2 linked regions of the Coturnix japonica genome follow. The protein of the gene in region 2 purifies or fractionates together with the protein of the main gene of each other region. This does not show direct contact. Links are inferred from orthologs where the notes say so. Each region holds a gene or a part of one and is shown on either strand. Other genes may lie near its edges.

Region 1 (3,949 bases), on a different chromosome or scaffold from region 2:
CGTGTCAGCCCTGGGCACCGCCAGGCCTCTCTCCTTCAACGCCTGCACCTTCAGCTTCTCCGACTCCTGCTTGGCTTGCAGCTCCAACCTTTGCTCCTCCAGGATCTCCTCGATGGAAACCTGCTGCAGCAACGTGTCGCTCTCCTTCTCCAGGTCCTGCAAAGCAAAGAGCTGTTGTTAAGCAGAGCTGCAGGGTGAGGGGCTGCAGGGCACGGGGCTCACTCACAATCTCCCCCAGCAGCACCACGTTCTCCCCTCTCACAACGAAGATCCCTCGAGGGATGTCCCCATATTTCTTGCCCACGTGAATTCGCTCCACTGTCTGATGCAGCACCAGGTTGGCTGTGGGGATAGAGAAAAAAACACCCCGTTTTTAACCAGTTTTTTACCAAAACCACCCAGTTTTTCACCAAACAGAGCACCTCACCTGAAACAACCCATAGCCTAAAGCATAGGGAGCAGCTGGATTGCATTATAGCACTATAATCCTATATGCTGAGCATCCCCTAAACAACATGATCCCCCAAACCCAGCCACTATAGGACCCCAAAGCAGCCACTACCTATAGCTGATAAAGGGATCCCTGGTGCTATAGGGTAAAGAATGAGGGGCTCAGCTATAGGCACAAGTGAATGGGGAAGGGGGGAAAGGGGGGTAGGGAGAAGAGGGGTAAAGGGAGGTAAAGACTGGGGGGCTCAGCCATAGGCACAAGTCAATGGGGGGATGAACTTAGTGCTGCCCTAAGGGGGGAATATAACATGGGGTGGGGGTCCAACATGACAAGGGATGGGGGAACCACAAACTGGGTTCCTATCGGAGCCATATGGGTTCTATTAAGCCCTGATCCGGTGTCGTTCCCGGTGCTGCCCCCCCTATCCCCCCCCATTATATCCGTACCGAACTGATCGATGCTGCGTAGGAATCCGATCAGCGTCCGGCCGTCCCGCAGCAGAACCAGGTGTTTCTCTATGGGGAAAGGGATCAAGCGGGGGTACGGAACATCGGTCCCAATGGGAACCAAGGGGAAAACCGGGGTCCCCCGCGTCCGGGTCCCGGTTTTCCCCTTGGTTCCTTATTGAATGAATAGAACCTCGGTCACACTCACTGTCAATGTCCTGGATGAGGCTTGCAGTACCCGGCATGTAGTTCATGGTGGCGGAACCGCCCCACGTTGGGCGGTACTTAGCGATGCACTGTCCCTTTAAAAGCGGCGCCGGTAGTGCGAGCGGGGCTGCCTTTCATTGGTTACATCCAGGGGTCCTCGCATCCTATTGGTCGCATGGTGGGGGCCTTTTATCCTTGTGTCGCGCTGTGGGGTGGGCTACAGCGTGCCGGGTTGAAAACATGGAGCACCGCGGTCGTACCGGGCAGGTAAAGGGGGGGGGGGAACCGAGCACAGCCCGTTATCCCGTTATCACTGCTCCATATAATGGGGTTTTTCCTTATAGGAGCCACCAGGCCCCGGCTTCAACCCCGGTTATTGGAGCCCAGCGTTCGGTTTTGGGGCCTACACCGACGGAGCGGACTCGGTATGTTGGGTTTGGGGGATGAGGGTCCATTTCCATCCCCCTCCCGTCCATTAAGGCTTTGACCGAGCTGTGCTTCATTTCTATGCCATAGGATACAATGGGCTTCAAGCCCCACTTGTTTCCTACAGCTCAGTACAGAAATAACCCATTAAATATCCTAACACACATTTCAGCTCATTTTCTTTCTCTTTTTCCCTTTTCTCCTCCCCAGGCTATGGACTCACCCTACACCAACGGATCCTACAGCGCCCCATACCCTCCCCATTACACCTCACTGCCACAAACACGAACCTACAGCACTTCAGGTCCATCCTACAGCACCGACAGCTCAGCCCCATATCGACCCCCCCCTCCTGCCCCTCCCTGGGGCTGTGGCACACAGGACTGCCCAGCAGAGGGATGCTCAATGCGCAGGCAAAAGGCTGCTGGGTATTCCCCACCGCAGGTAAGAAACCATTTAGGGTGTGCACAGCAAAGCGAGAGCTCCTGTGCTGCTCACCCCATAGAGGGTGAACCCACAGTGCACCCTAATTGGGCCCAAATGGCTTCTATGTCCCACCCAGCTCGCCCTGCTTGCTCTTGTAAGAACTTGGAGTTGCCCCTTTCTGCTGGGAGCTCTGAGGTCACGAGCTTTGGAGCAGAAAGCAGCAGCAGTCCCAGTGCTGGGGCTCATCCCAGTGCTGGGGCTCATCCCAGAGCTTCCTTCTGCCACAGGCATTGGGAGCTGACTTAGGACTTACATCTGTCCCCCTCTCCCCACAGACCCCAGGGATGCCCGTTCCTCAGTATCCATATGGAGACCACAGCCCCGGGGCCAACCCACAGCCCAGGGCTCAGGAGGAGGCGTGGGCTCCCCCTCACTATGGGGTGCAGGCACGGTATGCATGGCCTGCAGCTCCAGCACATGGGAATCCATTCCTCTCTGAATCACAACCACCCTGGACTGGCAGCAGGACTGCAGCTCATCCTCCTGTGTGGGACTCGAAGGTACAGTGATGCTTTAATGGCTCTGACACAAAGATTCTGGCTGTAGCCAGAGCTCAGCTCATGCTGCCTTCCCCCGCAATACACACATGCAGCTGCTCAGTGCTCCTTTCTCCAAGCACAGTTTGCTTCCAGGAGACAAAAACAAAGCAGCGGTTCTAAGTACTGCCAGCAAAATCACCTGCTTATATATCCAAACTGCCATTGAAGAAAGCACTGGAGATAGCAGACCCTGAGAGGCGGGTCTTGAAGTGGAGCAGATCTCATTTAATGCCTCTGTAATGTAGACTCTTTTTTTTCCCCTTCTGATTGTAGGAATCTGCTTATGACAAACCTGATCCGAGTGCAAACCAACACTGCTACTATTCTGACAGCAATCACCAGCACCCTGGGACAATGAATGACCACAAACCACCCTCCCTGCTGCATAACTCCAAGTCATCTCCCTCCAACCCCAAGGTACAATACAGTGCACAGCCCCAGATGTACAACAGTGCAACTCGGAGGCAGCTGGCTGGGAACCAGGAGGCAGGTTGCAAAGCTGGCAATCACACTGCAATGAATTCTGCAGCCATCCAGCCAGAGATACAGAGGATCCTACAGGTCACAGAGCAGGCTGAAGAGTTAGAACAAGAGGTGGATGAATTTGTAGGGAAAAAGACAGATAAATCCTACAGGCTTCTGGAGGAGATGCTGACCAAGCTGCTGTTAGAACTGGATTCCATTGAGACTGGTGGGCAGGATGGTGTCCGACAGGCCAGGAAAGAAGCTGTCCATAGAATTCAGGCCATACTGGAAAAACTGGAAAGGAAAGGATTGTGAAAGCAAATCAGCCACAATGCAGCCTGTTGTGGAGGTTCCAAAGAGTTAATCCAAATCTCAGCTCTTTCTGCTAAGCACTACTGATAATGAGAAAGCAATAAGACTTGATTGAAAAGAAGAAACAACCCTAAACCCACAGGAAAGCCCAGCCCCGACCAACAGCTCAGCATTGGACCAATGAAGAGAAGATGAAAGCAGCAAATTGAGTTGTTTGCTCTGGGATGTGAAGAAGCAGCACCACCTGAAGGTGTTTAGCACTGGGTTGTCTGTGTCCTTCATCCAGCAAGAAGAAAATCACTGCACAAAGTTCCCCAAACCGGGTCCAAATCCACCCAAATCCATGGTACCTCGTGGAGCCACAGCTGCAGCACTTGTCACATGCATCACCATAAATGAAGGTCCATCAGTGCGTGTGCTTTCAGCTTCAGATCCCTTACCCACAAAAGCTGGTTTGTGTCATCCCGGGGTTCTCTTTTTGTTTCCAATGCGCTCCCTGTAGCTCTGCTGATGTGAAGCTGTTCTGTGATGCCGTGTGGATGTGGGAACATAGCCTGGAACTCTGAGTTTTTCACCTGGAAAAGCCAGTTGCAGGCAGAGCCGTGCAGCCCTGGACA
Region 2 (3,500 bases):
CAAAACTACTGAACAGCTTGGAGTGAGGTTATGGTCCAAGATAATGAATTCAGCAATATAAAAATACTTTATTAACCTGCTGGGAGAAAGAAAGCAGCCTTTCAGCATTGTAAGCACTTTTAGCAACTGGCACAAAAGGAAACTCTTACCTTCACATCAAAAGTTATGACTAATTTTGTGAGGAAAAAATATTGTTATACCTAAAACATTACAAAGTGTGGCCACTGAAACCTACACGATGTTTCCAAACTTGTCTGAAAAACAAAGAAGAGCTACATAAATACTGCAGTATTTTTTGCTATTACTGATGTACAGGAGACATCTTCTTTGGTATTTAAGATATCACTGCTTGGTAAATTAGAACTTCCTTACGCTGTTGATAAACTATCACCAGCAAAATGAATCATGTGTGCAAGATAACAACACATAGTAAGGCAGAAAGAAGAATATACTGGTCAAAAAGAAACATAGAGAATATCCCTTAAAAGCTTATAAAAACTGATAAAACTGTTTTTGAAATTATTTATTTACCTGAAAGAGAGAGTTCTGCTTTTCTGTACCCGGTGTCTTTTCTATCCAGGAATCCAGTGGTTTCAAGGTGTTGGTGTTCTGAGTAACAACAGGAAACTTAGCTGCCAAGGTTGGTCTGCTGGATACATGCAACTGTTCTTGTTGCACTATCTGGAGTTTCTTCAGTAACTCCTGAGGTGATATCACCCCAGAATTGGCTGTTTGATTGCCAGAGAGAGGAACTGGCTGTCTAGGAAGTTTGGACTGTTCTTTACCAAGTGTCTGTGACTCTAAAGTCTGACCTGGCAGGGAACCATTGAAATATACCAAAGGTGGTTGGGTCATATTACTCATCTGTGCTGCTGGTGTTCCAACAGCAGCAGGAGTCCTGCTGAACACAGAAGCCGTTGAGTTCACAGATCCTGTTGCACTGGGATCCATTTTGGTCATCAACCCTGACTGACTCTGTAATTTCTGTAACAAACTCTGAGTACCAGCAGCATCCTGAACTACGTGAGATGTTGTAATGCCATGAGAAGTCACAGGCTGGAAGAGTCCTGTGAAAGCCTCACCCACAGGGTGGATATTGCCATTTTCACAGAGTCGGTTCTCAGGAAACTCAGCAAGTGGGTGAAGGTCTGTCCCACGCACCATGAGCTTCTGAATAGCAGGGCAAAGCTGTTTCTCTGCACAGGGAGAATGCCTGCTAGGTTCTTCATAGGAGAGAGAACGTACCACACCCTGCCTAACAGGAAGGTTCTCTTGATGCTGTTTATTAAGTGGTTCTGTGACATCTGTTTTCTCTTGTTTTCCAAACAGGGCTGTCAAAGACAAGTGTTGTGGTTCAGGATCCGCATTCTGTGAAGGGACAAAGAAAAAAATCTTAGGCGTAGTTATCTCATGCATGATAAATCACATTAGGTGGTGACAATATTTAGCCAGAAGTATTCAAGAAAAAGCCAAGAAAACTGCTATGCTCTTTTCTCCCAAGAGAATTTCTAATAGTTCAGTCGCATCAGAAGGGCAAGAAAACAGTTGTCAAGCTGCTAATGTGGGAGAAAAAAATGAATCTGAAAGATAGCAGTGGTTTCACTTTAAATACCATAAAAGAGCATCTACCCTTCCTGCCATCCGTACAGCATTAATAAAGAACAAAAACCTCCCCCTGTGCAGAGCAAGGTCACTACTTGCGCACCCCCTTGTCACAGCTGACTGAATTCAGCTTTTGCAATATGGTATAGTTTGAAGATGTATCAAAAGACTTTTCTTATTTAGATTACCTAAAATTCCCTTGAAGACAACGAACACAAAAAATGCAGTTCAGCAACTGACAACACCAGCTTGGGATCAAAGCAGCATCCCAACACTGAAAAACAAGGTGGTTTTTTATTTATTTTTTATTTATTTTTCACTGCTGCATCAGGATGGTACATCTGGAACTTAAATACTCAGATCGGTGGGGATGGAAGCAGACTGTTTTATAAATAGATCAGTTCTGCATTTAAAAAATAATCCTTACTGTGATTTTACCACAAATTCTTGCACTGACCTTATGATCTAAGTAAGTACTCCTAGTTGGCTGCTCAATTACATCAACACTAGAACACACACAGAGCACTTTACCTTGCTTTGCTGAGATATTCGTTGATGCTGATTTTCACTAGGCTTCACTGGAATTGGTTTGATTAGGTTGGGGTTGTTACAGATTGCAGAGGAACTAGTTATTTGTTTTGGCTCCGAACAGGTCTTGCACTGAAACAGAAAATCAGTATTTTTTACTAAGTGTTACTGTACTTTTTCCTCTTAGTTCTTTACCAGAGTAAAATCCAGACATAGCTGGGTATTCGGTTACCAAAAATGACGGCCGTGGCACTGATTATGAGTTGTTATGCTGTTGAAAGAACTACAACCTGGCTTTCTAAAATCAAAAAACATATGTAAAAATAAACAATTTCAAGGTTTTCTGAGCACAAGTTTTCCCTTTAGCTTGAAACTCAGTTCTCATCTTTTGCTTGTCCTGCACTTAGCACAAACTCAGACCCATTTTTCCTGCACTGGGAATCAGCTATTCCTTTAATAGTCTCACGTAGTTTAGACACAGGGATTTATGTGCACACAAAGAGTATCCAAAATGCTTTTTGCTAAATACTGAAATTTTAAGCCAAACTATTTTACTTAAACATTCCACAAACATGGGAACTTGTATACTCACACAGAAAAATAATTAAAGATTTAATCAAGTTGTAGATCAGCATGTTTCCCTATTAAATATGACATGATTAATAACTGCATTTATAAATGAGCAGGCAGAGACAGATGACCAAAAGTAGTCATAGAGAGGCCATCATTTAATTCAGGAGAAAAAAAAAAAATGTGCAGAAAGAACTGCATGAAAAGAGAAAGAAAATATGGAATAGGAAAAAGTGAATAAGATAGTTCTGTTTACACTGTACCCAAAACAAGGATCTAGACAACAAAATTAAAACGTAATGGATGTACAAGAAATGCTATTGTCAGTATAAAAGAAAATACTACTTAAGAAGTCACTGTATCTAGATATGATTAAAACCAAGAAACTGAGATTTTTTAATATATATTTTTAAAAGGTATCTACAGCTTAGGACTAGAAGAAAACAAGTATCACTCCTATCTTCAAAGGGCAAGAAGGAGAATTTGCAGAACTTCAGGCCAGTTTGCCTCACCTCAGTCTATGGGATGGTGATGGAAGAAATGTTCCTGGAAGCCACTTCGAAACATGTTAAGGTAAATAACGTGAGTGGGAATATCCAGAATGGATTTACTTGATCAATCTCATGGCCTTCTAGAGGGAGATGAGTGACTCAGCGGGCAATGGCAGAGCAGTGCATATCGTTTAGCTTGACTTTAGCAAAGCCTTTGACACATAACATCCTCAAAGACAAACTGATGCAAAAATGATGCAAACTGAAGATTAAAATGCAGACTAGGTAAGCAGACAGTTAGGACTGAAA

The links. Proteins that work in one complex are often made in the same cells at the same time.
Region 1: the proteins of DCP1B (region 2) and BAG4 purify together in Homo sapiens (affinity purification with mass spectrometry; 3 studies listed by BioGRID and IntAct, counting the BioPlex papers as one, with this or other methods). This does not show direct contact. The link is inferred for Coturnix japonica from reciprocal best matches to the Homo sapiens genes DCP1B and BAG4.

What each region holds. Positions count from the first base shown.
Region 1 is NC_029537.1:3,645,694-3,649,642, forward strand, and holds the start of BAG4 (BAG family molecular chaperone regulator 4), read left to right. Parts: upstream 1-1,149; coding exon 1,150-1,371; intron 1,372-1,448; coding exon 1,449-1,529; intron 1,530-1,740; coding exon 1,741-1,974; intron 1,975-2,291; coding exon 2,292-2,516; intron 2,517-2,828; coding exon 2,829-3,335; 3' UTR 3,336-3,949. Other genes in the region: U6 snRNA-associated Sm-like protein LSm1, read right to left, coding at 1-156, 227-342, 898-966, 1,106-1,151. UniProt on the Homo sapiens protein: Inhibits the chaperone activity of HSP70/HSC70 by promoting substrate release. Prevents constitutive TNFRSF1A signaling. Negative regulator of PRKN translocation to damaged mitochondria.
Region 2 is NC_029516.1:51,556,138-51,559,637, reverse strand, and holds part of DCP1B (mRNA-decapping enzyme 1B), read right to left. Parts: intron 2,263-3,500; coding exon 2,134-2,262; intron 1,369-2,133; coding exon 532-1,368; intron 1-531. UniProt on the Homo sapiens protein: May play a role in the degradation of mRNAs, both in normal mRNA turnover and in nonsense-mediated mRNA decay. May remove the 7-methyl guanine cap structure from mRNA molecules, yielding a 5'-phosphorylated mRNA fragment and 7m-GDP.